6 linked regions of the Danio rerio genome follow. The protein of the gene in region 1 purifies or fractionates together with the protein of each later gene. This does not show direct contact. Links are inferred from orthologs where the notes say so. Each region holds a gene or a part of one and is shown in the gene's direction. Other genes may lie near its edges.

Evidence for each region.
Region 2: the proteins of ccnd1 (region 1) and cul1b purify together in Homo sapiens (affinity purification with western blotting; 4 studies listed by BioGRID). This does not show direct contact. The link is inferred for Danio rerio from reciprocal best matches to the Homo sapiens genes CCND1 and CUL1.
Region 3: the proteins of ccnd1 (region 1) and cdk5 purify together in Homo sapiens (co-immunoprecipitation; 4 studies listed by BioGRID and IntAct, counting the BioPlex papers as one, with this or other methods). This does not show direct contact. The link is inferred for Danio rerio from reciprocal best matches to the Homo sapiens genes CCND1 and CDK5.
Region 4: the proteins of ccnd1 (region 1) and cdk1 purify together in Homo sapiens (affinity purification with mass spectrometry; 4 studies listed by BioGRID and IntAct, counting the BioPlex papers as one, with this or other methods). This does not show direct contact. The link is inferred for Danio rerio from reciprocal best matches to the Homo sapiens genes CCND1 and CDK1.
Region 5: the proteins of ccnd1 (region 1) and pcna purify together in Homo sapiens (affinity purification with western blotting; 5 studies listed by BioGRID and IntAct, with this or other methods). This does not show direct contact. The link is inferred for Danio rerio from reciprocal best matches to the Homo sapiens genes CCND1 and PCNA.
Region 6: the proteins of ccnd1 (region 1) and cdkn2a/b purify together in Homo sapiens (affinity purification with western blotting; 3 studies listed by BioGRID and IntAct, with this or other methods). This does not show direct contact. The link is inferred for Danio rerio from reciprocal best matches to the Homo sapiens genes CCND1 and CDKN2A.

What each region holds. Positions count from the first base shown.
Region 1 is NC_133182.1:69,631,513-69,636,630, reverse strand, and holds the start of ccnd1 (G1/S-specific cyclin-D1), read left to right. Parts: upstream 1-1,671; 5' UTR 1,672-1,950; coding exon 1,951-2,148; intron 2,149-3,545; coding exon 3,546-3,761; intron 3,762-4,132; coding exon 4,133-4,292; intron 4,293-5,118. UniProt on the Homo sapiens protein: Regulatory component of the cyclin D1-CDK4 (DC) complex that phosphorylates and inhibits members of the retinoblastoma (RB) protein family including RB1 and regulates the cell-cycle during G(1)/S transition.
Region 2 is NC_133199.1:21,242,219-21,246,839, reverse strand, and holds part of cul1b (cullin-1b), read left to right. Parts: intron 1-2,188; coding exon 2,189-2,319; intron 2,320-4,621. UniProt on the Homo sapiens protein: Core component of multiple cullin-RING-based SCF (SKP1-CUL1-F-box protein) E3 ubiquitin-protein ligase complexes, which mediate the ubiquitination of proteins involved in cell cycle progression, signal transduction and transcription.
Region 3 is NC_133199.1:37,948,031-37,953,278, reverse strand, and holds the end of cdk5 (cyclin-dependent kinase 5), read left to right. Parts: intron 1-756; coding exon 757-837; intron 838-2,297; coding exon 2,298-2,384; 3' UTR 2,385-4,241; downstream 4,242-5,248. UniProt on the Homo sapiens protein: Proline-directed serine/threonine-protein kinase essential for neuronal cell cycle arrest and differentiation and may be involved in apoptotic cell death in neuronal diseases by triggering abortive cell cycle re-entry. Interacts with D1 and D3-type G1 cyclins.
Region 4 is NC_133192.1:22,199,612-22,205,003, forward strand, and holds the start of cdk1 (cyclin-dependent kinase 1), read left to right. Parts: upstream 1-1,744; 5' UTR 1,745-1,853; intron 1,854-2,500; 5' UTR 2,501-2,514; coding exon 2,515-2,551; intron 2,552-2,675; coding exon 2,676-2,832; intron 2,833-3,544; coding exon 3,545-3,668; intron 3,669-3,976; coding exon 3,977-4,147; intron 4,148-4,872; coding exon 4,873-5,036; intron 5,037-5,392. UniProt on the Homo sapiens protein: Plays a key role in the control of the eukaryotic cell cycle by modulating the centrosome cycle as well as mitotic onset; promotes G2-M transition via association with multiple interphase cyclins.
Region 5 is NC_133185.1:46,058,001-46,063,251, reverse strand, and holds the start of pcna (proliferating cell nuclear antigen), read left to right. Parts: upstream 1-1,700; 5' UTR 1,701-1,962; coding exon 1,963-2,183; exon of another isoform or gene 2,184-2,236; coding exon of another isoform or gene 2,237-2,268; exon of another isoform or gene 2,269-2,458; intron 2,459-2,662; coding exon 2,663-2,760; intron 2,761-3,182; coding exon 3,183-3,250; intron 3,251-3,757; coding exon 3,758-3,952; intron 3,953-5,251. Other genes in the region: E3 ubiquitin-protein ligase TRIM69, read right to left, coding at 2,237-2,268. UniProt on the Homo sapiens protein: Auxiliary protein of DNA polymerase delta and epsilon, is involved in the control of eukaryotic DNA replication by increasing the polymerase's processibility during elongation of the leading strand.
Region 6 is NC_133176.1:27,775,674-27,781,002, reverse strand, and holds the start of cdkn2a/b (cyclin-dependent kinase inhibitor 2A), read left to right. Parts: upstream 1-2,088; 5' UTR 2,089-2,350; coding exon 2,351-2,476; intron 2,477-4,134; coding exon 4,135-4,386; 3' UTR 4,387-5,329. UniProt on the Homo sapiens protein: Acts as a negative regulator of the proliferation of normal cells by interacting strongly with CDK4 and CDK6. This inhibits their ability to interact with cyclins D and to phosphorylate the retinoblastoma protein.

The sequences.
Region 1 (5,118 bases):
CTGTTTGCTATTAAATTAATTAATATATTTGCCTAATATTTAAAGAGCATTGTTGATATGTCTATATGTAAAATGACGTGTGGGGGAAAAAAACTTAAATCAGTGGAACATTTAAAGTTTTTCTTGTATTCTAGTTTCTCTCTGCAACTCGTTTTGGTCTTTGTCTTTTCTGTAAAAAAAAAAAAAAAATACAAAATTCCATTATATGCATGTTCTTATAGAGGTTTAAAGTAATAGTAAATAATACAGTAGCCTAATAACAGTTGCTATTATAGCCTAAGATAATATTATACTATGCTAATAAAATAACTTTTGATCTTAGAATGAACGTACTAGCCTGTTTGCTACTAAATATATAATAAATAAATAAATATATATATATATATATATATATATATATATATATACACAGAGTGTTGTTGATATGCTTATGTAAATGACTTGTGAGAACACTTAAATCCATGTAACATTTAAAGTTGTTCCTTTACTCTAGCTTATTTCTGCAACTCTAAAGTTTTTTGTCTTTGTCTTTTCTGTAAAAATAAAAGTTATATTTTTTCTTTAATATGCATGTTCTCAAAAAGGTTTAAAGTAATAGAACTTAATACAGTAACTTAGCTGCTATTATAGCATAATAAGCTTATAATACATTTATTAACATTTAAAGTTGTTACTTTATTGTAGCTTCTTTCTGCAGCTGAAGTTTTGGGCACAGGCAAATTACTTGTTTTACGGTATTGAAGTGGAATGTGCGGAATTTGTAAAGCTTCAATTCATCCTGAAGCGACAGCAGTGAGGTCTTTTAAAGTGAGAGCGCCCCTGTTTGATCAAACTCTATCAAACAATTTGTGTTGTTAAAGCTGCAGATGTCGTGTTTAAACTTTACCGGTGAGCTAATGTTTTCTTTTAACGCGGTTTGTTTCCGAGTCTAAATATTATAACTACTTTATTGTTTGTATTATTTTATTATTTGAAATATTTAATGTTTTGGTGTACAAAGAGAAAAAAAAAAGTTAAATGAGATTTAAGGAAATGTATTATTAAATACGACAAGAAGAATGCTTCACATGATTAATTTTAACAATTTATTTTGTTTATTTAACATTTCCACGAGGAGTTTTTTTTTAGATAAAAGCTCGTGCCGCAGTTCTGCCTGGCAACTGACGTGCTCCTCCATTGGTTTAGGCTAATTTGTGCTTCCTTCTTTAAGTCTAACCCCCCAAAAAGAAACAAAAAAATAAAACAAGCCTCCACCCAAGACCACACATTTGTTTCATATATAGCCTACTGAAACCACATTCAAGTTTGTGCAGAAACTTAGCTATATGAAACTTCATAAAGTAATCCAAAATCTTTTAAAAACATTTTAAAAGCCTGATTTTAAAAGCAGACAAGTGACTGTGACCAAATTTATTTTACAAATAAAACTTTTGATATATGCTTGTACAATTACAGTGACAAAAGTTTTTCAATGCGACAGTGTGGGCACCTTGATTTAGGCTATTATACTGCCCCCTACCAATACTAACCCAATACACATCTTCACCCCAGTCTTTTCCACCCCCGATACCCACGACACTAGCAGCCTGCCCCCTGCGCCCCCACCCCGGCCCAGCCTACCCCCACCACCGCTTCTCCTTGGTCACTCGTCACCCGGCGTAGGACCTCCTATTTCCATAGGGCTAAAGAAAGGAGCCAAAACTGAGAAGCAGATAGTTCTTTAGATTGATCCTCCGCCCTGAGCAGACAGCCTCTCGCTCTCTCACAGGCTCGCTGCTGCTGCTTTGATCTTCCCTTAACAACAGTCACGTCATAGGGGAGTTTTGTCAAGCGGAGAGCTGCAGCGAGACTTTTAGAGGGTTCAGCAGAGGCAGCAAAAAGCATCCACGGGACCAGTGTCCGACTCGAGCTCCAGCTTTCTTACTTTTCTCACTGCTAAACACTGAAGATATGGAGCACCAGTTGTTTTGCTGCGAAGTGGATACCATAAGAAGAGCTTACCAAGACAGCAACCTGTTGAATGACCGAGTTTTACAGACAATGCTTAAAGCTGAGGAAAACTATCTCCCATCACCAAATTATTTCAAGTGTGTTCAGAAAGAAATTGTGCCTAAAATGAGGAAAATCGTCGCGACGTGGATGCTCGAGGTTTGTTTTGGATAATATATTTATATATCTCTTTTTTTTTGCATTTGCTGCTACACACGTTGCCTCACGATGATTCTACTCTTGCTCTTTGGACTCCAAGAAGTATTTATTAAATGAAAAAAAATGCTTTAGTGTGACTTGGGTTCATCGGCATTGCTTATCCATCCCAGAAATATCACACAGAAACACGCTGTCCGATTATTGTTGCTTATTTTTTACGTAAAAATGTTTTATTACGAAATATTAATCCGACACGAGACGTTTTCCGTGCTTTCCGCTTTAGCCTTTTTATTTAGGGTTGTTATTTTTTCATGCATGCGTTTCGTTTCTTATAAATATTTTAAAATATAGATACATTTATTTATTTTTATTTTATTTTAATACCAATGTACACGTATGCATTCTCACTCGTGCCAGTAGCCTATTATACGCCATCTTTGTTGTCGTTTGCTTAAGTTTTTTATTTCTCTAAATTCTAAAATGGAAACATAATTGACATCACCTGCATAAAAGCGCTCACAAGTTGTCTTTTAAATCACAGGTATAACATAAATCAAATTTTTGCAAGAAAACGTAATATTTGTGTCTTAAAAGTTTTGTTTCAGTTTGTCATACCTCCTGCACGACGGTCTAAAAATATTGTATTATTTCATTTCTGAATTCAACATCGTGTTATAACCTATCGGATTATGTTAACCCTCTAATAATGTGGATTTACAGATGTTTAACAGTAGATTTAATGCTAAGGAATAATTTATATTAATTTATGAAACACCCGCTTCACCTAAATGTCGCATGCTTCCCTTTGTATGATGGGGCTTTGGATTTCAGTTCATTTCACGTAGTTTTTGTCATTGCAATCGAAATATTTTTGCATAATCTAATAAAGCATGAGTTACAGTACATTTACATGTGTTTAAAGTCAAGCAAAACAATTTTCGTATATTTTTAAATATTTTTTGAAAAGATGACGAACTAGAAAATTGTTTCCTGAACCGAGCTCAGACGCCACCTTTTTGCCTCGAAAGCAACGACCATTAGCATCAGAAGCAAATTGTAACATTTATACTTTGTGCAACACTTAGGATTAAACTTAAATTACTGATTAAATACTATTTTTAAGCATTTCCACGTGTCTTTTTTTTCTAATTTAACCCTTTCCACTGCACGTGTACGAATCAGCAGATGCTAAACACGTGGGATAACTCGATAAGATCAAAGCATACTGTAGCTTAAAAAATATTTGCACTTCGTTTATTTAATAAATTTCTATGAATAGTTTTTATTTTTATTTTTTATTTTTTTTTATTTATATATTTCTACACGTTTAATTAAAAGAATTAGCTGCTGTTGTGACTTAATATTTATTTATCGTATGCACTTTCTTTTCTTTAAAGGTCTGTGAAGAGCAGAAATGTGAAGAGGAAGTTTTTCCTTTGGCTATGAACTACCTGGACAGGTTTTTATCTGTGGAGCCCACCAAAAAAACCAGGTTGCAGCTTTTAGGAGCAACTTGTATGTTTCTGGCTTCAAAAATGAAAGAGACTGTGCCACTTACAGCAGAGAAGTTGTGCATATACACGGACAACTCTGTCCGTCCCGGCGAATTATTGGTAAATGTTTAATACTCTTTAATTTAGCAGCTTGATATTGTTTTCTTTTTTTTTTTTTTTTTGTGCTGAATTAAAGTAAAATAATGCAATTGAAGGTCATTTTGCTCAAAGACCTATACGTTAAGGTATTGCATGAAACAACGAGCTAAATGAGTTTATCAAAGTGTTAAGGCACCCACAGATATCTGTAAATAACAGTACATGTTACAAATTGTTGGTGCTTTTGATGTGTGCGTTAATTGAACGTAGGCCTTGCGTTATTGTGCAATTAATCGACATCTCCATCTAGCGTTCAAAGAGTGTAAAATCTGAAATGGAAAAATCGTCTGGGGCTTTATGTAAACTTGGACCATTTTATATCTCCCTCGCAGCAAATGGAACTGCTGGCGCTAAATAAACTGAAGTGGGATCTGGCCTCAGTGACACCACATGATTTCATTGAACACTTCCTTGCCAAACTGCCTATACATCAGAGCTCCAAGCAGATACTGCGCAAACACGCCCAGACCTTTGTGGCCCTCTGTGCGACAGGTATGTTTGTACTTTTGAGCTCACTTTTATTTTGTTTCGGTAACTTTGCAAAAGTTTTGAGCACTTTATCATGGTCATGCATTGAAGATCCTTCCCTCACAGTGTTTTACTTTCAGGCAGACTTCTTTATTGCAATTGAACGAGCCATCTTGCTTGTCCTAATTCCATACTCACAGTTATTGTAAACCAGTGAGAGGCTCTGCAAAGAGAGAGGAAGTCTGTTTCCTTTTGTGGTGATTGCTGACTGCTCCAGAGCTTCTGAGAAGCCCTGCCTGCTTCACGATACCGCTTCTGTGCACACAGTGCATGTGAACCAAAAAGCGGAAGTAGTTTTCTGACATTTTCCCTGTGAAAAGGGCTTTGTAACCTGATATTTTCCCATGTCTAGACATCTTGATGTCCAGGTACCCTTTTAGTTAGAGTGTTTGCTTCGGGGTAAGGCTGCAAATCCACTTTTTGACCTTACACCTCATTGTCGAGCAACCTACAGCAGTCAGTTTATCACCTGCCAGAGTAGGCCAGTAATGTTTCAGGAAGGAACTACTTGGGTATACTCTTTTTGTTCCTCCATTTACATGGTGGGTATCACCACAGCTCGCTTCACTTTTATGTTTATGACCCGCATTTCTTTGGGAAGTAGCCTGGGATCTTAGCCAGGGAGAGTGTGGTTGGATGGATACTGGGAAGGGGTGGGTGCTGGTGAATGAAATGAATGGGCTGGGGTGAAGGCTCCTGTGCCTTTATGCTCAATTTGTCTTGACAATTGCCCTCTCGTCTCTGAGCTAGCAGTGCTAGATGACTTCCTATTAGAAAGGCAGTTGTATTT
Region 2 (4,621 bases), on another chromosome or scaffold:
ATTAAGTTTAAACAACCAAATTTTAAGGATGTTTTTAACCTCACTTTAACATTTGTAGATCTCGATAACTACAAGGATATAAGTATATATGTATGTAAACGCTGATCATATTACAGTCCTCAATGTATTTAATACAATAATAATATAATACAATTTTATGTCATTATTCCACTTTCCTGCTAGTGGTTGTCATTAGTGTTACTACAGTACAACCCAAGTAATAGTTGATGAAAAAAGCCTTTTAACCTTATCGATGTTGCAGTGTTTTACAAGACTTGTAAATAATGACAGCACCCTTTAATTTGACTTTCAACTTGTTTCATTTGATCAAACTGATTTTTTTATGCATAAGCACATATCAAATACTCAAATACTGGCGCGATTTGATCTGGTCTATTGTCCAGCGCAGTTGTAGTTACATGATGTAGTTACACAATTAGTTAGTAGCACAATTAGTTGTGCGCTTACCTTACACATTACTTAATACACACAGGATGTACAGTAATACACAAATATCTTTACAAATGAAAAAGAATTAAGGATTAAAATATTACAAAAATGATTATTTTCCAGCCTACATAAATATAAAAACCATACTTTCATGCCTTCTCTGGGGGCTTTTTCAGTTTATTCAGAACAATTTGCTTTTGTAAAGTTACTATTATTAGCAGTATTATTTATTATATGCATATTTATTTTTGTTTTATTAAAAACAAGCTTAGATGTGTCCACCTGTCAGGTTTTAGACCATATGGGGCACAGCATGTGTATTTGAAAAACTTTTTTGACCACACTTCGTTATTATTGTTCATTTATTCTTTTTCTGGAAATTAGAACTGAATTTAGAAATAGTTTTGAAACAATCTTTGCGCTTAACAAACAAAATTAATTATGTATAGGCTAATAGATGTCGGTGCGTACAACACGTTTCTCTATCCACGAGAGTGAAAGCGAAAGTAAACAATGAGAAGGCTTATCTCTCATGCTCACGCTGTAGATGCTGTTTTCTCTCTAGTGAAGTGTTCAGTTTTTCCACTTACAAAGTCCGCCTTGTAAATAGCAAATGCGCTATGGCGCGGCGCAACTGACTCTTATCAGACGTTCACACCGAAAGCGGCGAGAGCATCAAAGTAGCTGGAAGTCATTCATTTTCAATGAGAGCCAGCGGCGAGAAGCAGCGCGGCGCGTCTTCGTCGGTGTGAGCGTCGATGAGAGTTGAAATGAAGTCAACTTTATGGTAATGAGCTATGACGCAGTTCGGCGGCAAGCAATCAGAATGAAGACATCCACCGCTTGATAGCAGTTCAGAGAACACAGACCTGTGAACTTTGGTTCCGATCACAGTTGTTCCCAAGGGTTTGATTATTGCAGTCGCCGGATTTCCAATTATTTACAATGTTTTCCTACAGGAACATACATTAAATAAGTTACTGGCGAGTTACTGATGTTTATTAATGTTATATAAATTTATCTTAAAAAAGTGGGAATCTCACGCGATATGACAGTACAAAACAGTACTGCTGCTTCAGGATATTTCAGACATATGAACACGTATTGGATAAATAGAGCAAAGCCACACCACATGCAACTTGATCTTCCATTGTTGTATGAATATGATAAGAAGTGTGCAACATTTTCACGCTAGAAACATGTTTTATGCAGGAATGTAACTGATATGCTGCAACGGCTCCTTTAAATACGAGATCAATGTAGCGAGTTTTGACGCTTTCGCCGCCGGAGCTGAAGGCAGACAGCGTTGTCGCCAGGGTGGCCAGAGTGACCTTGGACTCTCTCGCCGCTTTCGGTGTGAACGTACGGTTAAAGGGAATGGGAGATGAGACTCTGATTGGTTTATTCTCAAAACACACTTTGCGCAAGGACCATCAAAATAGAGCCCATTGTCTTATTGACTGCATGATTCATTATGACTTCTTTAATTATAATTAAGCATTTTATTTTTTAAATAGTAACTAAAAGTAAATAGTAACTTTTGTTGCATTTTAATATTAGTACTTAATTTAAAAAAATGCTTTACTTGTTGCTTAAAGTAACATTATTACGTAACTGACGTTACTTGTAAGCTGTTCACTACATAATCATCATGATAAAAAAAGAAACCTTGCACATTTCTAAAATCCACAAAATAACACTCTGTCTGATGGTCATCACACATTGTTTATAATTGCAGATCTCGGTCGGATGTACAACCTTGTTTCCCGAATCACAGATGGATTGGGAGAGCTAAAGAAACTCTTGGAGTCCCACATTCATAATCAGGGTCTGGCAGCCATCGAGAAGTGTGGAGATTCAGCGCTCAATGTAAGTCATGCTTATGCAGTTTAAACCCACAGTGACCATGTGGAAACAATGCTTTCAGTTTCATGCTGAGCAGTTTAAAATTTGATTGATTTGGCTTGTGAATGTTGTGTTGAAAGCACAAGTGAACCTGAATTTCTTGTACTTAGCGTCACGTCATTTGTAATAATCCATAACAGGACTATTATTATCAGGACAAAAGCTGTTTGACTGTGACCTAAAATCTCCATGATTTAAAAATACACTTGTATTATATTTCATAGAAGTGACTCACCCACTGTATGCCACATCAATAAAAGCCAGGCACCGCCTTTACAGGAAACCAAATCTTGATTTATTATTTAATTTAAAAAATTGAAGTATTAGGAACTGAATAAGAATAAAAAATATAAAACACACTTAAGTGAACTTTAAGTTAACATTTAGACATTTTTAAAACACCAAGTCTAAATTAAAGCAAAACTGGGTGTAATTTGTGTGGGAAATATGATCACATGCCTCATATTTTTGTTTTGTTTGCTTCACATATATTGCATCACGTAAGTTGCTTTGCAATAGAATTCAAACCATATTTCAGATGGAATAATATGGAAAATACAGCCTTATTCATTAACACCATACTTTGGCTGTTTCTCAATTCCGAGAACGGACTTGCGTTCTTGTGGAGACCAGTCTTACCAGGTGTCCTCGGAAGAACGAACTCAGGAGACCGTGAGGGCAGAGAATGCGTCCTTTGAGAAATGGGATGCTGCGTTCTTCCTGATGGTCATGTGACCTTCACGCGTTTTAAATGGAAATTATTTAAACATTACAGCATTCATACAATGATTTAATGCCCCCCCCCCTTTTCCAAAATATATACTTTGCATAAAAACATTATAAATATACTCTGCACAATATAAATAAAACTAATTTTAATACGAATTTCAGCTAACAAACACCCTTAATGTGTTTATTCCTTTATTAAGATGTTCATGTTAATGTTTACTTTCACTGTTTCATTTAGGGAAACTCCTGAGGTAAATAAGTGATATCTCTGAACTTTAATAATAAATCTAAATAAAATGCTGCGCTTCCCACCTCCAGTCGCAATGAATTCTGGGACTTCCAGAGCGAGTTCAGTGCTCAAGTCTGCATCAGTGCGTCCTCGATATCAAGATCACATCCGGGAAGTTTCACGCGTCCTCCGTACTTGCGGTCTTGAGTATTGGAACTGAACTTAGGCAGCTGATGATGACGTTGCACGAGAACACGAGAATGCAAGAGCGCTGAAGAACGCATATTGAGAAACAGCCATAGACTTTACTTGGACAGGTTGCCCAGGTATATTAATATATATATATATATTATCACCCATTACAGTTTTTTTTGTATCCGCCCAAGATAACTCAAATGTCTGCGTTCGATTAACCAATGTAAAATCTTCTCCTGCCCCATTTCATACTGCTCATTGTGTGTGAGCGAGAACTGTCAACAACACTTCCTCAGACAGTCTCACGTGCTATGCAGAGACCCAAAGACATGCAACTTTTTGAGGCTTAAAAATACATCTGGCCGGTGTTTCTAAATCTCCTAAAATGTCCGGGAGTCAACTTTTGCTTTCGCTTTCTAAAGCTGTTATGTTTTTGCATTCCTCTTTTTATTAAAGACTTGGCTTCACAGCTGACAGCGTGCACAGCTGCGAGAACAGGAGAAAAAGTAAATAATGGATTCATTCATCTAAACAAGTAAAAAAACATTACTGTATACTCAGAGAGGACAAAATGAGATCTAAACTGGCTGCAAAATAGAAGTACACCATTAATCAACTAAATTGCCTTATTTATATAATCTACACATTTTTAATTCTAATTATTACAAAGTATCCATTTTAGAGATATAGTCTATTGTTATTTATTTCTCATTTATGTTATGTTATTCATTACATATTTTATGCATATCTAAAATGCTTTGGCAGTACTGTAGTAAATGCATGCCAGTAAAGAGAGAGAGAGAGCAGAGTGCAGCTGTGTGCAGATGGCTCCAAAATAGCATAAAAATGAGAGAAATACTGGATTTCTTTTCTTATTTCAAAAGCCCTTTGACCAAATTTAACCCATTGAAAAGAAACAGTGTATAATAAATAAAAATATTGTTAAAAATCACATTATTTTTGTGTCATATGTAATTAATCATTTATGTGTTGTGCGTAAAGAATGTGTTTCAATCCGGCTACCACCGCGAGTGCATTTCAAACCAGTGTAAAGCACTGGCCAGTAATATTTATCTCCATTAATCCTGGATATCATGTTAGTTTGTTTTTGTT
Region 3 (5,248 bases), on another chromosome or scaffold:
CGTAAGCATGGAGTCTGCTTTGGATTAGATTAGATTAGATTAGATTAGATTCAACTTTATTGTCATTACACATGTACAAGTACAATGCAACGAAATGCAGTTTAGGTCTAACCAGCAGTGCAACAGCAGCAAGTGCAGGATACAGGTATATATATTTAGCTTTGAGTATCAGTGATTGCAGGAAAAATGTTGATGCCTGTCTGAGAAAAGCCTATAAAGTGTGCAGTGAGGGGTTCTACAGCCTTAAAACATCTATTCATTCATTAATTTTCCTTCGGCTTAGTCCCTTTATAGCATATGAATTACACAGTGAATGCCCATCCAGCTGCAACACATTACTGGGAAACATCCATACACACATTTTTACACACATACACTACGGCCAATTTAGTTTATTCAATTCAGCTATAGCATATGTCTTTGGACTGAGGGTGATACCGGAGCACCCAGAGAAAACCCATGCCAACACGTGGAGAACATGCAAACTTCACACAGATATGCCAACTGACCCAGCTGTGACTCGAACCAGCAACCTTCTTGCTGTGAGGCGACAGTGCTAACCACTGAGTCACCGTGTCGCCCTTAAAACATCTATAATAATTGTAAAAAAATAAAGCTGACTACTTTACGGATTTCAGGTTATTTTAAGAACGTAGCTCCTGTGATTAACGAGGGACCACTGTACTCAGTAATTGGCTGCATATATTTTTAATTTATTTATATATTGTTTTAAATATTTATTTGATATTTCAATAGCCGTACCCGATGTATCCAGCTACTACATCACTTGTGAACGTCGTGCCGAAACTCAGCAGCACCGGCAGAGATTTACTACAGGTATATTATTTGCATTATCATAACAATCGCAGCTGAAATCAAAATGATTAGCTCTCCTGTGATTTAATTATTTTGCTTTTTAGGTATATATTTCCCAAGTGCTTTTTAACAGAGCAAGGACATTTTCACAGTAATTCCTATAATATTTTTTCTTCTGTAGAAAGCCTTTTTGCCCTGAAATAAAAGCAGTTTTAAATTTTTTAAAACCAATTTTAAGGTCAATATTATTACCCCCCTTAACATTTTGTTTATTTTAGTTGTCCACACAGAACAAACACCTGTTGTCCAATAACTTGCCCAATTACCATACATTGCAAAATTGTAATGTAATGTGTATTTATATAGTGCATTTATTGTGTATGGCCATACACACAATGTGCTTTACAATCATGAGGGGGGGTCTCCCCACACCACTACCAGTGTGCAGCATCCACTTTGATGATGTGACAGCAGCCACAGGACAACGGCGCCAGTGCGCTCACCACACACCAGCTATAGTTGTAGTGGAGAGACAGTGATCCAGCCAATTTCTTGGATGGGGATGATCAGTAAGGGCCGATGGAGGGACTTTGGTCAGGACACCGGGTATACACCACTACGCTTTACGAGAAGTGCCATGGGATTTTTAACAAGAGTCAGGACCTCAGTTTAACAACGGTGCATACTGACAGTATAATGTCCCCTTCACTATACTGGGGCATTGGGACTCAACACAGACTGCAGGTTGAGCTCCCGCTGCTGACCTCATTAACACCACTTCCAACTGCAACCTAGATTTCCCATGTGGTCTCTCATCCAGGTATTGACCAGGCTCAGCCCTGCTTGGCTTCAGTGCGTAACTGGTCTTGGGCTACAGGTAGATATGGCTGTGGCATTAACATTATTAACCTAATTAGGTCTTCAAATAGTGTCCTGCAAAATATAATGTACTGTCATCATGGCAAAGACAAATAAATAAGTTGGAAATTAGTTGTTCCTAAATTGGAGATGAGTCATTAAAACTATTATGTTTAGAAACGTTGGACCAGTGCTGGGGTCAAGTCGGAGAACTCACTCTTTTCCACCGGGCTCTGGACTGGTTGGGGAAATTTTAAATTAAACGGGAAAAAAAATCAATAACAATTGGCAACATTGCAACATACAGAACCTGGGTAGTTTAAAATAATATAAATAAATAAATAAATATATATATATATATATATATATATATATATATATATATATATATATATATATATATATATATATATATATATATATATATATATTTGATATATATTTGATATATATATATATCATTTTTATTTTTTTAATGTTGAAAAAAAACTATTTTAAAGCACTTGTGAAATATTTCAATAATAATTGCAGTTTTATATTAATTTTTGATTAACTGTATTTCATGATTGATGGTTTTGCTAAATGTTACTATTTTGTGACTTTTTGTTTTTATTTTTTTCTAGAATCTTCTGAAATGTAATCCAGTACAGCGAATCTCAGCAGAAGAAGCTCTACAGCACCCTTACTTTGCTGATTTCTGCCCACCATAAAAAAACAAAAACAAAAACTGCTCTCCAAATCATCATGTAGGAACACAGACGGGCCAGTTTTACCTCCTCAAACCCCCCTCAGCTTCTGCTTTCACCATAGGATAATAGAGGGACCACCAGACACTCCTCCATTAGTGATTATGGTTATGATTTGATCATACAGACATGATTATAATAGTGACTCTCTCTAATGCAGAGTGTGCTGCTGTTATTCGGCACAAATCTCCAAAAAGACCTTTATGTTGTTACTATGGTCTTAAAGGGATAGTTCATCAAAAATCAATTTGACATATTTCTTCATTAACAAAATGTGTGTTTTTAGCTGAAACACTGGTCATTGGGTGATTTATAAAATGCAAGTCAACAGCACTTTGGGAGTCAAAAAAAACACATACAGGCAAAATTAAAGGGATAGTTCACCCAAAACTGAAAATGCGTTATTCACTCTCTATTCAAAACCTTCATTCTGTTGAACATAAAAGAAGACATTTCGAAGAATGCTGGAAACCTGTAATCATTGACTTCCATAGCATTTGTTTTTCCTGCTATGGGTATCAATAGTACATCAGAAACGTGTTCAACATAATGAAGAAACACATAAAGGTTTGGAGTAAACAGTGAGAATTTGTTTTTGACTGAACTGTGCCTTTAATGATTGGAATAGTTGATTCCATGAGCATTATGAACTTCATTGTGTTTTATAAGACCTCAATTTATTGTCCAGAGCTGAATATATATGTATTTTGATTAGCCTGTATGTTATTTATTTATGTATTTATTTTTGACTCCATATCTTACTTGCAGTTTTATGAATCAACAAGGATCACAGTTTAAACCATAAGTCTTTTAATGTGTCACTGAATTAAAAGAAAGCGACCGTCTTTGATGACCCGAGGGTATTAAATCAACAGCAAAGTTTCATTTTTAATGGAATTATCGGAAAAAGTTCATCCAGACAAACAAAATTAGAGAATCGCATAACGTCAGACCATCTAAAGGGACAGTTCACCCAAAAATGAAAAATTCCTCGTAATTCCTCAAGTGCTTCTAAAGTTTTTTGAGTTTCTTCTGTTGAACAAAAATGCTGATGTTTTGAAGAATGTTGGAAAAAGCATCTCTAGTAGCAACGAAAAATACTCAATGGCTGTTTTTCACGTTCTTCAGTACATTTTCATTTATGTTCAATAAGAAAGCAACTCAAACAGGCTTTAAACAAGTGAAAGATTAAATGATCATTTTATTTTTTGCGTGAACTATCCATATAAACATTGATCATAGTCACATATATAGGTGAACTGTTATGTAAATTAAAAATGTTGATAATTTCTTCTAGCCTGCAAACCTTCAATCCTGGCCCTACATGATTCATTTAGTTGCCAAATGTTCTTCATTGGTCTCTGAAGGTTTACAAAACGCTGCGGTGGGGACTACAAAAAGCAGCAATTTCTTTATCTTATTATTATTTTTTTTTGTCTACGATCAAATGAGCATTATAATTGAATGAGGTACAGCGCACATCATTGATTTAGCACACGTTACGATATACAGTATATAAAGAAAAACCACCATAGAATTTTGTGTTGTACACAGTAATGGTAAAAAAAGTCTAGGTTGTGCGATTTTTCTATGAGCGAGATTTTAGCATTCATTTTAAACAACACTGTTATCGTTTTCCTATTCTTCATTTAAAGAAACGCTGCACCTTATTTTTTTTAAGTTAAACAGTTGAATTTGACTATATTTTTAAAAATGTATTCAGTTGATCTTTGTGTTTGGTGGGAACACTTTTAGCTAAGCTTAACATAAGTCATTGAATCAGATTAGACCATTAGCATCTCCCTCAAAAAAAAAAAAAAAAGTTGAGTTTTGATTATTTTCTTATTTAAAGAGTGACTCCATTTTAACCAATTTTTAAATATTCATTCATCAGATCTTCAGGTCCGGTGGGAGCACCGTTAGCTTAGCTTAGCATAAATCATTGAATCGGATTAGACCATTAACATCACGCTCAAAAATAATAAAGTTGAGTCTTAATAATTCTCCATTTTACAGCTTGACTCTTCTTTAGTTACATTGTGTACTAAGACTGCTGAAAATAGAATGTTCTATTTTCTGAGTCATAATCAAGGAACCTTTTTTAGGCACTGCGTAAGATCACTGCGCTTGTTTTAGCCATGATACAGCAACAAAGTTCCTTGCTTATTACGCCAGAATGACAGTAAAGTTCCAAGACAGCTGTTCATTTACTGCCAGTCTGACTACGCAATGTAACTACAGAAAAGTCAAGCTTCAAATTGGTAAAATATTTAAACTTTTTGTTTTATTGAGATGCTAATGGTCTAATCCGATTTAATGATCTATGCTAAGCTAAGCTAAAAGTGCTCGTAGACTCTGAGATACACTGAATGAATTGAAAATGGTGAAATTCAACTGTATAACTGTAGGGAGGTAATAAAATGAGCCTTTCCTTAAAAATTCGAAAATGGAGTGTTTTAATTTTGTTGTACATTCAGTAAAGATTAAAAAAAAAGTATGTTGTGCAACTACTTTTTTAGGAACAAGATTTTAGCATTCATTTTAAACAACACCATTAGCGTTTTCTTATTCTTCATTTAAAGGAACACTCACTTCTTTTTTCTTTTTTTTTTTTAATGGGCTCATTTTACAACTCCTGGAGTTAAAGTTAAGTTTCCCCATGTTTTAAAATCCATTCATCAGATCTCTGGGTCTGGTGGGAACACTTTTAGGTTAGCATAAACCATTGAATCAGATTAGACCATTAGCATCTCGCTCATCAAAAAAAAAAAAGTTGAGTCTTGATCATTTTATTTAATGCTTAATTCTTCTGTAGTTACGTTGTGAAT
Region 4 (5,392 bases), on another chromosome or scaffold:
AAAATAATGTGATTTTCTACAAATGAAGCATGAGCACAGATTGCTTTGCACCCCTTAAACACAACCAAGCCTTAAAAATACATTGTGGACCACCTCTTTAATGAATCATGTGGGCTCATCAAGATTGCCCCCCAGTGGTGAATCACTAAAAATGTTCAAACATTCACCTGACCTCAAATCAGTTTTACAAGTTTATAAACATTTTAATGAAACATTTGTAAAACAAAGAGTAATAATAGTAGTTAATAGTCCCTTGTTGTCCTGTTTAGCACACCCATTGTACAAACAAATCTTTAAAAAATGTTAAAACAATACATATTATGCAGACACTTTTTTGAATGGTTCAAAACAGGCAATCCTTTTGTGAAGCAATTGGTTCAATTGTTTCTAAGCTTTGAAAAACTTAATTTCTCCCATTACTAGATTTTACACTGAGACGGTAACATTTTCAAAAATATTTTCATGTCCCCAAAACAAGATTGGTATGTAACGATGTTCAGTAATAATAATTTTTAAAAAGTTAAACAGTGTAAAAAGGTTCAAATCAATATTTCTATTTATTATTTATGTGGTAAGACGCTGTGTCATAAAATTGACGCAATCTGACGGTCATTATCATAAAACAAATCTTAACATGGTGATAAAAATACCAGGGTCTAAAACAGAATAATGACCACATCCCTTATAACACAGAATACTAGCATTCTTTAAAAATATTGATTAAAAAAAACACCCAAAATTAGTTTGACCTCCTCTATCCCAATTCCTACAGCCAATCAGAGTGGCTCAAATATGCATGGTAATAATTTGTAACTAATCACTTCTTTAATTAAAGTCTCTACCTCTGAGAATTTAGGATGGAATTGAGATTTTATCCCGGGGACTAAGCCTCCTTTATTTCTCTGTAATTAGACAGCCTAGTTATGCTTCATTGGGCTTCTGAGAGCTTCTTTTAAATGGTTCTGTTGGGGGGAAATAAACTTTATTAAAAATTGTTTTTTTACTTTGTGACCCCACATCAAATCTTTCTGAAATCAAACCATGTAAACTAGAATACTACTACTAATAATAATAATAATAATAATAGTCCAATTATAAAAGCTAATAAGTAGCTTTTCTACACAATATTTTACACGTGTCTCCCTCTCTGTCTTTTTATATAATATACATATAACAAATAAAAACGTAAATATAAATTAGCATCTGTTGGAGATCTGGTTAAATAATACTGAAAAGAACAGTCCAACAGTGACACCAAGTCGTCAAAAAGAGTAATGCATGCGTGCTCGTCTGTGTACCACTCAAAATCAATATGTGACCATTGTATGAGACTCACAATATAATAATTACATTATTTGTTTGTTGTTTGTCGTTACAAATGTAGGACATTTAAGACACAAGACTGCAGCAACGAACGCAATGAACTAGAATGTCGGTTTTAGGGTAACTAAAGGACGTTAGAGATGTTTCGTCTGAACACCCACTACCAGTGATATACAGCAACAAGTGTCTGTCAAAAACGTAAAAATCGCTATTCCTACCTGCACAAGGACTACTTTGAACTAAATATACAACAAGCCGCGCATGCGCACATTATCCAACACAGACGCCGCTTTCCTCCCGCTCCCAACCGCTCTATCATCTGATTGGTTGATTTTGAAGTCCCACTGAGTGCGCTGATTGGCTGCTTTTGAATTACGTCCACGCGGCCAGTTTGAATCAAGGAACTCGCAATTCAGCAGGACACACACACACAACATCCGCAAGCTTTTTCATTCCTCTAAAATTTCGAGAACTCTGTTGGACGTAGGACAGTTTGATATTCATCCATATTAGATATAGTTACAGAAAAGGTGAGTTTTTAAAAATCCATGATGATGATTGACTGTTATGTTAACGATTTTGATTCTGATCGCGTAACATTAAGTTGTTTGGGCCCAACTGAGCAAAAACTACTTAGTCATTTAACTGTAAGTTGATACTGTAAACTTTACTGAATGATGTTTTTGTTTATGTAATTTTAACGTTGCAAATGTACGTCCTAAATAAAACAGACGGTTGATCATTGGATTTTAGCACTAGTTTCTGCTGCATCTTGATTTTCCGTTGCCACATTGCTAAGTTACTTATTTTTCTCATGAAAACGTGTCTGACGTTACGAGGTTTTTAGGCACAAAATTATGACTTTGGAATTATGAAAAAGGATTTTATCTAATGGTTGTGATTTTGATGTCAACGCCAAAAGCTAAGACCTGTTCAGTCAGTCTTTTAACGGTACACATAATGTGTATATTTGACATCCACTGTAACTTTGATTGCTTTAGATAGTTAGTTTAAAGCAAAAACGAACAAGTTTAATGAAGAAAATAAAGAGAAAAGTTTCATTATGCATCCAGACTTTTTTTCCTCTTTCTAAAAATAAAAAAAAAATGATTCTGAAAATGTCATGTTATGCTGTCATTAATTTACTTTTTTTATTCTTTGTGTTTTTTCAAAAAAGAGTGTTTGGGGAAAATGGATGACTATCTGAAGATAGAGAAAATTGGTGAAGGTAAGATTTATCTTGTGCTTATTGTCATTTACATTAGCTACTATTATTCTTAGCTAGTCTCTAAATAATAAAACTGAGAGTGTTTTTAGTGAATGTCTAATGTAAATATGTGTGTGTTCTTTAGGTACGTATGGTGTAGTATATAAGGGCAGGAATAAAACCACAGGACAGGTGGTGGCGATGAAGAAGATCCGTCTGGAGAGTGAGGAGGAAGGCGTTCCCAGCACTGCTGTCAGAGAAATCTCCCTCCTCAAGGAGCTCCAGCACCCAAACGTTGTACGGTATGACAGATTTCATTACATGTTTAACAAAACAAATAATTTAGAGTCAATCAGATTTACTGTACAGAAAGTGCTGTTTGTATGCCTGTCTCTGTGGTGGTGGGTTAAAGACGGGTTGGTCTAATACAGCTTTATATTTTACTCTCTATCCATTGGAATGTGTTTGGTTTAATATATTTGTCCTGAACAATAAAAATAGTTATGACAGGATAATTGATGTCATCACCCACAACAAAGTAATATATTTTAACAATATTTAATATACCTCGCAAAAAAAATTGATCAGCATATTGTTATATCAGGAATTGTGTGATGACATTAAAATGCTGTTAAGGGTTCACAGTTTAAAAATGTATGTAGGTTGATAAACTACTACTCAAATTTGGGTGCTGTTTTTAATGCTTACCAATGCTTTGTTAATTTGATTAAAAACTATTGTGAAGTCTTACCACAGATTAATGTCTGTTATAAATGATGAATTTTCAGCATTATTACTACAGTCTTCAGTCTCATTATTCCTCAGAAATCAATCTAACATACCATTATTACTCCAGTCTTCAGTCTCAGTGCTTCAGAAATCATCCTAATAAGTTGATTTAGTTTACATTTATGTATATTACTAGTATCATAGTATAAACAGTTTTTGTTTTTCATATTTACTATGACAGTATATGTACTATTTTTACAAATAAAGTGTTTCTCTTTTTCCCAGCCTGCTAGATGTGCTGATGCAGGAATCCAAATTATATCTAGTTTTTGAGTTTCTGTCCATGGATCTGAAGAAATATTTGGACTCCATCCCATCAGGCGAATTCATGGATCCTATGTTGGTCAAGGTGTGTATTTTTTTTATTATTTTATATATATATATATATATATATATATATATATATATATATATATATATATATATATATATATATATATATATATTTTTTTTTTTTTTTATTTATTTATTTATTTATTTATTTTTTTTTTTTTTGGTACTGTAAATACAACGATTTTGTTTCATGTGCCTTTCATGCCCCGAAATACATAAATACTACATTCCTCAATGTTTTATAATGGCATGTGTTTGGATTCTATACTATAGTATTGAATGTGTATCTTGAAGTAACCGTGCTGATGTGTGTTGTCTATGTAGAGTTACCTTTATCAGATCCTGGAGGGGATTCTGTTCTGCCACTGTCGCAGGGTTCTGCATCGAGACCTGAAGCCCCAGAACCTGCTTATCGACAATAAAGGTGTAATTAAACTGGCAGATTTCGGCTTAGCCCGTGCCTTTGGGGTCCCAGTAAGAGTCTATACTCATGAGGTAAGTACACACATCCCACAATGGAGGCCACATTTCCATCCGCTATTACATTCACACTTAAAAAAAAATAGACATTTTTGTAATTGAGTAAAGGTGACATAAGTGAAAATTTAACACAAACTATCTTCTGTCAACTATATACTTCATTTATACCCTAAGAAAATCAAAGAAAATACTGAATGTGTATTATAGATGTATTCTTCGAGCTAAACCTATGATTTCTTTAAATTGGAAAAATGGATGTACACCAAATATAGGTTACTGGCTGAAAGAAATGGTTTTAAATACGACAGTAAAAAAGATAACCTATATATTAAAAGATAAATGCAAGGTTTTTGAGGGAGATCTTTCAAATTGTTTAGTTGTACTTTTTTAAATTAACTTTATCATATATTGTACCTATAATGTGGCTATTTCACACAGTCTCTCTCATTAACTAGCTTTTACTAACGCAATGTGTAAAGTGTTTTATCGTCACTTTATAATAATTTAGCAATTTAGGGTGTTTATTTTAAATATGAATATACAATACACAATTATTATTTTTTTGTTATAGCTGTTAGAAGTACTTTTTTACAGCTTTGGTCTATCATGATACAGCTTCAGCAGTTAATCGCAACAAGAAAATTTGATACTGGCAGAAGCCTAATACCAGTTGATGATACTTGCTCAAAATGTTATAATCACTAATGCTGACGTGTGTGCGCATGATTATGATTGTGCAGGTGGTCACTCTGTGGTACAGAGCTCCAGAAGTGCTGCTGGGGGCTTCACGCTATTCCACACCTGTAGATCTCTGGAGTATTGGCACCATCTTTGCTGAACTCGCCACCAAGAAACCTCTCTTCCATGGAGACTCCGAAATAGACCAACTCTTTAGGATCTTCAGGTAGACAAAGTTCAGGAATCAGTGTTGACATTTATTTATTTATTTATTTTTTATTTTATTTTTTTTTAACAGAGTTTTAAAAGTATAAAAGAAGTTTGAAAAGGTCAATTAGGGCTGTACTTGGTAACAAACTTATTTGCTCGTGTTAAACTGCACAGACATTAGGGTACAATATTGTATTTATAGTACAACATGTATTCTCTATGATAATATAATTGTTGTATTAGCGCACGTGTGAACATGTTTGAAAACCTTGAAATAGACATTCTCTTTTCTCTCTTACTCATGAAAACAATAATAAGTAAGGGAATATATTAGTAATTTTATAAAAGGGGAAATTATAACAGTAAGAGAAA
Region 5 (5,251 bases), on another chromosome or scaffold:
GGTAATTTAATAAATAACATAATACTCTGTATAATTACTGTTTTTACACTACTGTGAGGGTAGGGGTAGATGTTACAATTTAAAAAGTAATTTAATAAGTAATATGAATAATACTCCGTATAGTTACTGTTTTTACATCACTGTGATGGTTGGGTTTAGGGTTGGGGTAGTCATTAATAAAATGCAATTATTGATAACTTAATAATAATTAACATAAATTATTAAATGTAAACTGCCGACTGCAGCTGTATCCCCTCTAGCAACAAAAGTTATGTGTTATACAAACAAAAAAAGGGATACAGTTGGGGATACTTGGGCATGCGCACATCAGCATGATTTTTGTGACAATATTTCGTATTTTACGTTACTGTGATGGGTCGATTTAGGATTTGGGTAAGGTAGACGTTATTAAAACGCATAATAATGGTTATTCATAAATATTATAAATAATTATCCTTAACTGAAGACCGCACCTGCAGTTACACCATAGATATATACATATATATATACATACACACACACACACACACACACATACATACATATATATATATATATATATATATATATATATATATATATATATATATATATATATATATGCTCAAGTATCCCCAACTGTATCCCTTCTTTTGTTTGTGTAACACATATATGTATGTATGTATGTATGTATATATATATATATATATATATATATATATATATATATATATATACATACATAAATGTGTTACACAAACAAAAGAAGGGATACAGTTGTGGGATACTTGATCATGCGCACATCAACATAGCATGATTTTTGTGACACAACAGTATTTTACGTTACTGTGATGGGTCGATTTAGGATTTGGGTAAGGTAGACGTTATTAAAAAGCATTATAATGGGTATTCATAAATATTATAAGTAGTTATTGTTAACTGAAGACCGCAGCTATATCCTTTAGCAACAAAACATGTGTTACACAAAAAGTTGCGGATACTTGGGCATGCGCACATCAACATCAATCGTTGGTACACTGCACAACAATAATTAATATTTTACGTTACTGTGACTTGTCGATTTAGGGTTTGGTTAGGGGTATACGTTATTAAAACGCACTGTAATGGGTATTTATAATTTTTATAAATAATTCTCGTTAACTGCTGACCGTAGCTGTATCCCTTCTAGCAACAGCACAGTAATTTGTCACAGAAACAAAAAAGGGATACAGGTGCGTATACTTGGGCATGCGCACATCAACATAGTCTGATCTTTGGTAAACTGCACAACAATAATTAATAATTTACGTTACTGTGACTGGTCAATTTAGGGTTTGGTTAGGGGGTATACGTTATTAAAACGCACTGTAATGGGTATTTATAAATTTTATAAATAATTCTCGTTAACTGCCGACCGTAGCTGTATCCCTTCTAGCAACAGCACAGTAATTTGTCAAAGAAACAAAAAAAGGGATACAGTTGTGGATACTTGGGCATGCGCACGTTGACATAGCATCATTTTTCACACTGTACGACAATATATAATATTTTACACCACAGTGACGGGTCAGTTTAGGGTTTGGGTGGGGGTAAAGGTTATTAAAACGCACTGTAATGGGTATTCATAAATGTTGTGAATAACTCATACCTTCTGACCAAATTGCGCCCTCTTTTGGTCAGTGTCCGCAGTTCTGTCTGCGTTCCAGGAGGAGTCAAACGTCAGCGGAAATGACGAAGGCAACAGTGGGTCAGTTTAACAAAATCCCGGCGAAAGCGCGCGCAGTTACATTCAGAGCCTCGCCAGAACAGTGGACAGCACATCTGCACCGTGCCTCCTCTGCATTAGTACCTGCTAAACTCTAGGATAGTTTAGGATTCTGCTTTCCTGTGCTGGAAAACAAGCAGTTAACCAGGCCGCAGCTTGTGTCGTAACAGGATTAGATAACTTTAGTTCCTCCTACTCTAAACTAAGAAAGCAGCACAATGTTTGAGGCACGTCTGGTTCAGGGATCTATCCTTAAGAAGGTCCTGGAGGCTCTGAAAGACCTGATCACCGAGGCTTGCTGGGATGTGAGCTCGTCGGGCATTTCTCTGCAGAGTATGGACTCCTCTCATGTGTCTCTGGTGCAGCTGACGCTCCGGAGTGACGGGTTCGACTCCTACCGCTGCGACAGAAACCTAGCCATGGGGGTCAATCTGAGCAGGTAAAATCACTGACTAAATCAAGCGCCTTTTGTGTTATTTGACTCGTATTTACTTGGTGAGTGAAGTTTGAACATGTCTGCGCATGCCCGGGGCTGCGCCTCTACACAGCAGCGCGCCATTTTTAGACTATAAAGTGACAAAAGTATTTTATTTACAGTAGTTGTTATTAAAGTATGCCGTTTTACGGTTGTGTTTTAAATAGGCTATCAGTTTAATTTGGCGCGCAGTTTCCTGCATTCGTCCCACGCTCTACTGATCGTGACGTCACTTGCGCGCGCTTAAGCTTGTTGGCGGGAAAGAAAATGCCGGGTTGCTGAATGACAACATGGCTCTGGTGTTAGACAAAGAAAACCTGCTTAGACACTTTTTGTGTATGCCATGACTGTTTCGAATGTAAATGGTAAACCATTTTACGATCAATATGGTGTTTTTCTACCTGAAGTGAACGTGTTTTGATTATTATTCATCTGTTTCCTAGCATGTCGAAGATTCTGAAGTGTGCTGGAAATGAAGACATCATCACACTCAGAGCTGAAGACAATGCTGACGCCTTGGCACTGGTCTTTGAAACGCTCAGTAAGTTAACTTCTTTTTAAACTAGGAATAGCAATACTTTTGATAGTGTACAATTAAAAAAAACTTTTTTTTATTATGAATTTATTTTATGTTGCTAAATTTATATTTGCAGTATTTTAATATCGATTTATCAGCAATACCTGTTAAAAACATGGGCTTTGGTTTAAAATGAATCATTAAAGTTAAGCTAAATAATTAATACTTAATATTTAAAAATAATTTTCTAATAATAATTTTCTCCAAAAATGTAAGAATGAAATTCGCATAGATACTGGAGCCATTTTGTGGTTAATAACATCACATAAAAAAAATGCTTCTAGTATGGATTTTCTTCACCATGTTATCAACTATTACTATGAAACCAAAAGTTAAGTTTTGCTGGAGAGCTAATAATCCATACTAATATTTACATCTCATTTCAGATCAAGAGAAAGTGTCCGACTATGAGATGAAACTGATGGATCTGGATGTGGAGCAGCTTGGCATTCCAGTAAGACTTTATTATAACAGGGTGTCTGCAGGGTCATTAAAAGTTGATAAATCAATTTGGTATTAAACAGCCTTAACTGTTGTTTTACAAGATATAATTGTTTTGGTCATTTTATGATTATATAATGTGTAGTTGTGTGCTAAAGTTTGCCTAAATTTAATCTGTGTGGTTTATGAAATTGATAAAATCCTGCTAGATTTGGCATCACACTGCTTTGTCTACTGCAGTAATAAAGGCAAGCCTATGTTTCCTGCTGTTCTATAGGTGCCATCTGTTGGGATTAGCATTTTTATTCAGTACATGACCGATTTAGTTTAGGATTCGTTTCTTACAATCAGTATTTAGTAAATATACTACAAGTTGAATTGTCACCAATGTTAAGTTAAAACCTAAAATGGCGATGAGGTCTTAAAGTTTATTGAGTTTCCCTCTCTTGATTCCTGTTTATTTCTGATATGATCGTGGATGTTTGTCTGCAATGATCATGCTTTATTCTCTTCCCCTCAGGAGCAGGAATACAGTTGTGTGGTGAAGATGCCGTCGGGTGAGTTTGCCCGCATCTGCAGGGATCTGTCACAGATTGGTGATGCTGTCATGATCTCGTGTGCCAAGGATGGCGTGAAGTTCTCTGCCAGCGGAGAGCTGGGCACAGGCAACATCAAGCTCTCACAGACCAGCAACGTCGACAAGGAGGATGAAGCGGTAACATACTATTCATTTAAGGCTGCACGATACTGGGAAAAATATGCAATATATATTCTATAATCAAACATTTCTCTGAAAAAGTCAATTTAATTAGCTGTTTTAAAAAAATTATTTCATGATTTTGCAATAAACAAGTAAAATATATTTTCCAGATCTAATTCAGACTTAAAACTGTCAAGATGCAAACCTTTAGTCTTTAAAGCACTATTAGTGAGAATCATTTTTTAGCTCTGATTTCACCTTTAAGCCAATCCAGCCAATAGCAGAACAGCAACTACTTAGGAGGCGGGGCTAAAGGTAGTAAAGGCCCCATCTGATTGATCAGATTTATATAATAAGCAGCTTTATTTTCATTTAGCACCTTTAAAAGTAGCATCTCGGGGCACTTTACAGACATAATGTGCAGCTGTTAAAGATGCATACAGGATGAATGCAAAAAAAATGCAATGAATATAATCAAACGCTTACAATAATAATAAATCTAAAAAGCTACCCTAAAAGAGTAGGTTATAAGTGATTTAATAATTATCTGGGATTTTATCAGAGGGTTAAGAGTTCCACAGATTGTGGCAATGCATAAAAATAACCAATGCATAAAAAACAGTATCCGTAGGGTCTTAATGTCTTAAGTTTAAAAAAAAAAAAAAGTCTTAAAATCACTGAAATATTGTGTTGTAGGTCTTAAATCATTTTAAACTGGTCTTAATTTTCCTGTCCCAAGTAAAGCTACCCAATCGGGCCGACATCCATATAATCACCAACAATCTATCTTCATAAAATCAGGGGGAAAAAAACTAAGAAATTACACAATTTCTCATGATCATAACCACAATTACATTGCGTTGCGTCATTTTTCATTCATACAAAACCTTTACAGAAGGGTGAGTAGACATTTAAAACTAGGCATGAAGCTTAAGGTTTTACAACAGGAACGCTTTAGCTTGAAAAGAAGTCGTACTCAATCAATTTGGACCAAAAGCCTTCAAATATATCTTTTTGATTATGTAATTGCCTCCATGATAAAAATACTTTAAAAAATGTTAAACTTGTAATTGAAAAAAAGAGAAATTAAAGTGTATACAACCAGAGTTGTCTTGTTTTGACATTAAAGTATGTCGCTAAGAAATGTTTACTTTTTTTTTTTTTTCTGACCAGCAAAAAAAATCCATTGGCCCAGCCAGGCCATTAAAGAAAATTCTTAGTGCATGTTGCCTATACTGTCATGATAACGATTCCTTATTGCGATATGCTGTGCAGCCCTACTGTTCACATTGGGATATTCATCTAGAAAATAGT
Region 6 (5,329 bases), on another chromosome or scaffold:
AAAGCAAAATTTATCCTGGACAATAAATCAATGTATATATTATATAACACACTTATGTAGCCATATATGAGTTATTGTGTTGAAATTTGGGGGAACACATATTATTCTAATTTACGATCCGTAAGTACAATGCAGAAAAAAAAGTAATCAGACTGATAGAAGGTGTGGGGTATTTGGAGCATACAAATATATTTTTTAAAATTAAAGATACTCAAGTTCAATGATTTGGTTAAATTTAAAACAGCACAATTTATGTTTAAAGCTAGGAATAAATTACATCCAAAATGCATACAAAAGTTTTTTGAATAAAGACAAGGGGGATATAACCTGAGAGAAGAACTAAATTTTATAGGAGGTTGAAAACAAGGACAACTTTAAAAAGTTTGTGTATGTCTGTCTGTGGTGTGAAATTATGGAACAGATCAGACTCTCAAACAATGTCAGCATGGTAATCAGTTTAAAAAGTTGTATAAATAAATATATATTATAAAAGGAATATAATGATGAAGGTGATTGAAAATGGTATGATGAAACTTTAATTAATGGCTATTTGCAGTACTATGTTTTTTTTTTGTTTTTTTTTTAGGTCTATGTTACAAAATGTAAAGGTACAAATGGATTTAAACATGTCAAAGATGCCAAAAGGATAAAATATGTCTCATGTAAAAAAAAGAGATGAGTGAAAGAAGAAATAGGTTTAAGTAATAGACGAATGAAGTATGTGGTAACGGGGTGGGAAAATAATAGGCTTGTGCTTCATCCCAGTCCATTTTCGAAAATGTTTTTTATTTTATTTTATTTTTTTATGATATTTTATGTATATTTTTGATCCAAAATAAATAAATCAAATCAAAACTTCTTTTTTCCCCCTTTTAATGTAGGAATTTCAACTGTGGTATTAAATATTAAAATGCTCATGCCTATTTACTGGAGTTGTGAAGTAAACTTTGTGCAGGATATCTTTTAGTTACATAGTTCAACTATTCTATTTCTACATGTTGTTTAATATCTATTCAACAAAACTAAGTAAAATAATTCATTTTTAATCGTTGCTTCTATGACATTTAAATTAAATTTTCTATTATTAACACTTAGCCAGTGGGGCTTTGCCAACTATTTTTTTTCTTTAATATTGTACTGCGTTGGTTTGTTATGATTATTTTATTTACTATTTCATATTTTAGTATCTATTTTGCATGCACATTAACCAATATTATTAACATGTTAACAACATCAAAACATGAATAAGTTAGAAAATTAAATACAAAAGCACACTGTTCTTCATTTTAAACAGGTGCATCTCAGAATGTGATTTTTACTTTATGTAAATGATCTACACAGCCACAGGACCCTTTATCTTTTTACTTATTTTCAACGTATTAGAGAGGCAACAAACTCACTGCTAAAATTAAAAACTATTTGCTACAATTGTTTAATACCTTGTTTCTGGATACAGGCTATAGTTTAGCTACAGTCGTGTGATGGGGAAATAGCATTACAAAACTGTAAGTCAGACGATGTTTGGGCAAAATTATGGCCATTCGCGTCCTTTCTATCGTGCAGAAAATAGATTTATGTTCATCTACAATCAAAAACAGAACAACCATTATGAAAAAAATATAAATATAGGCTACCACGAATGTATGTATATGCTTTTTTGTTATAATTTATGTGGATCAAAAATATAGTTTAACTTAAGCGCCCCACACAGCATAATGGCTAAATAATATACTTTAAAGTAGCCAAGTCAAACTTAATCTCTACAGGCCTAGCTAACATCGCGTCTTAATCAAAATCCATAAAATAACTTTACTCTTGAAAAACGAGAGATTTTTCCTGGTAACGTTAGCCTATTCCCGAAGAGTAACTTCTCCATGGCACAAAACCCAATTATGTTAGCATAATTAGCGTTGTGATATGCTTATGTACCCGAAAAAAAGAATAAAAAAACTTCTTGTGATCTAAAAGCAGGCTAATGCCAGTTACATTAGCCATAAAACATTAGCAGAACCTAATTTCTGTTTCTCTGCAGCCTCTCCTACTGTGTCGTAAACTCATGTCTTCCTGACTCAGCTGTTGTGCGCAGGCGCAGTATGACAGTACTGCACCACGGTTTTGCTGTGACGTTTATGACAGAGACAAGTCCGAACAAATATCTCGCTACGAAAAATTATTTTAAGACACAACACTTTGATAAACGAGTCAGTTTCGCTTATTTACGCATTATATTGGAACATGTTATTCATGGAGACCGATAAAAATAAATTACAGCGTTGAACTGATTGTTTTCGCAGTATCATCATCATTTGGTTTTACCTGTGAAGCGAATTAATTTCGAAAATCAATAAAGATGATGAACGTCGAGGATGAACTGACCACAGCAGCAGCCACCGGAAACATTTCCCATGTTCAGTTTTTACTTTCTAACGGAGTGAATGCCAATGTGGTTAACAAATTTAGAAGAACGCCTATACAGGTAGGTTTAGACGCGCTTTAAGAATAAACAACGGAAATAAACAAATGCAAATAAATAAATAAGATTAATTGCAGATATGTAACATTAAATTAGTAACATACAATTCAAAGACTTATTTTGTATTAAAGGTCATATTATTTAACAAATTTAGGCTATTTCATATTTTCACACCTGTTTGACTATATGGGATTTACTTTTCTTTTTTTTTTTTAAATATTAGGCTATTTGTGTATTTATTTTACTCATTTTAGCATGTTTAAGAACCTTTTAGGCTACTTAAACGGCCTGAAACATGTTTACCAATAGCGTGTTATCAACCTATATAATACTAACAACACTTTCTATCTTTTAGTAATGTCATTAATTTTAACATTATAATTTTAACTTATAGCTACATTCTTAGAAATTAGTCCGAAATAAGACAAGGAGTTTTGGATGTATTGTCAAAGTTCAAATTATTCAAAGAAAACTAAAATCTTATTGAAAACGAAAGTCCCAATGTACTATAACTGTGTATAAAAACCAAATGTTTACAATTATATATAAGAGATAGATAGATAGATTTATATACATAACAATAAATAAATAAGACATTTTATAGATCTTAATTTCAGATAAATTTTAAACTATTAAATCATATCTCTATGTGCGAGAAGAATGGCACACTACTTGCTAATTCACTCCCGAAAGCTTTGTTGGCATCGATGGTTTTAAGAAGAACCTTTTGCATCTATGGAGAAAATTTTTGAAAAATGTGCCTTTAAACTATTAAAATGTTTATTTCATTTTTTGACAATAAAAATACTTCTTTTGGAAGCTTTGTAATAGGTTTTCTGTGCGGAACCAGAAGGGCATCACTGCGAAAACCCTTTTCCTCTTATTGCCATGCTTGTTTTTACGAATGTACGTTTAATATTTTGACATTTGTACAGTTGGCCTATATTGACCAAAATAATCAGCCACCACTAGCACAGTCATAGACTAATGGAGTATATATTTTAGACCATACTTATTTTTGCTTGTTTTTATAATCGTGTAGGCCTATTATTATAATATTTGGTGTGAAAGTTTTCATCTAATTTTCACAATGTCCAATGGTTTTACGGTTCATGCTCTCGGTTACGGGACATCAAAAGCCGAAGAGGTAGCCTACAATAAAGTGCGTATAGATATCTTTTAGCACACTTTAAACAGATGGACAGCATACATCCAGAAATCGTAAAAGATTAGGCAATTGTAAAACTTCTGACGAGCATGAATTGCCTCAGAAAAATGTCAATTAAACGAAAGATGTTTAAGAAAATCACAAATGTGAACAAAGCATATTTATGGCATACATTTTATTTAAAATGATTATAGGAATCTTCATAATTAATCATATGAAAAATAAGAATTAGCTACAACACAATTTGTTGCATTTAATTGATTTACTGCCCGTGAATAATTTATTGATAGGCTAAAAGAGTAATGCATCATGCACAGCAATGTTCAGTGCCAGCATGTGCACTGCTTTCGTTCCTATTTAACCAAAAAGTATCTACTTTCCAGATTTCGAGTGATGGCAGTAAAATTATTGATTAAACAAACTTCTTTACAGTGACATCATGACGTTACTGGCGTTTATTTTTTCATGAGACAGCAATTTTCCCCCTCTCCAGGTGATGATGATGGGTAACGCACCTTTGGCTCTTGTGCTGCTGGAACAGGGAGCGGACCCTAATGTGCCTGACCCCGACACAGGGAGCACACCTCTGCACGACGCTGCCAGAACCGGATTCATTGACACCGTGCGGCTTTTAATCCGCTTCGGCGCCGACCCCAATACAAAAGATCACTGCGATTTACGACCAGTGGATGTGGCACAACAGACTGGCAACGTAGACGTGGTTGAATTACTCAATCGTGTTTAAAATGTTTAAAGACTGCATCACTGCATAGCCTAGGCTACTTTAGGTGGTAACCTTATTAATGCACTCAAGTACTTATAATTCTCAATAGCACATGGTCATTCATGTAGTTTGGAGATTCTAATCATTTAAAATTTTATTTCTGTATCTTTTAAGTTTATTTATTATTATTATTTATTATTAGCTAGTCAATGGGAACTTCAATAAAAGGCTACAGACACAAACCATCATACGCTCATGCTAGCCTATAGTTCGCATAATAAAAAGTGTAGACAGCATTATGTCCAAAGATAAATAAATAATTAAATAACATATCCACCTATTTGTTTTTAACCTGAAAAGCATGGCGACAAACATTGAATCAAATGGCTTGCAACGCAAGGACATCCAATATTTTTGGCGAGCTCTTTCTTTTTTCATTTCTTCCGGTTAAACATGCTTTTATTAAGTTTATAATATTGTACGACTAATAAAAATGAAACTTTCTATTTATACCAAGGCATAATTTAAATAATTTTGCTTAACGTGGTTAGCTGTTTGTTAGCTCTGTGTGGTTAAACTGTGTGGGTTAACTGACAAAAGAAACATTTAGTTTGTGCGGGATGTTTGTTAGCCTTTATTCTTAACTGTACTGTAGTGTTGAATTGATAATTGTTTCTTTTTTTCTGGCTACTCAAATACCCGGTGCAAACTAAACCCGTATGTTAATTAAGAGTTTAACCTTAAAAAACTATATATAGCCTAATAGAAAACGAGGCGCTTCATTTTACATGCATAACTCGTTTAACTAAGTGCAGGAAAGTGTATTAAAATCTCTATTTTTTTAGAAAGGCAGAGAGAGGAAAAAAACAGACAGAAAAGTTAAATAAGGCGTCGATGTAAAAGAAAACGGTGTAGATGCAAAGGAAACGAAGCAGGTAACGCTTGTCCAAAAAAAATCACTCCT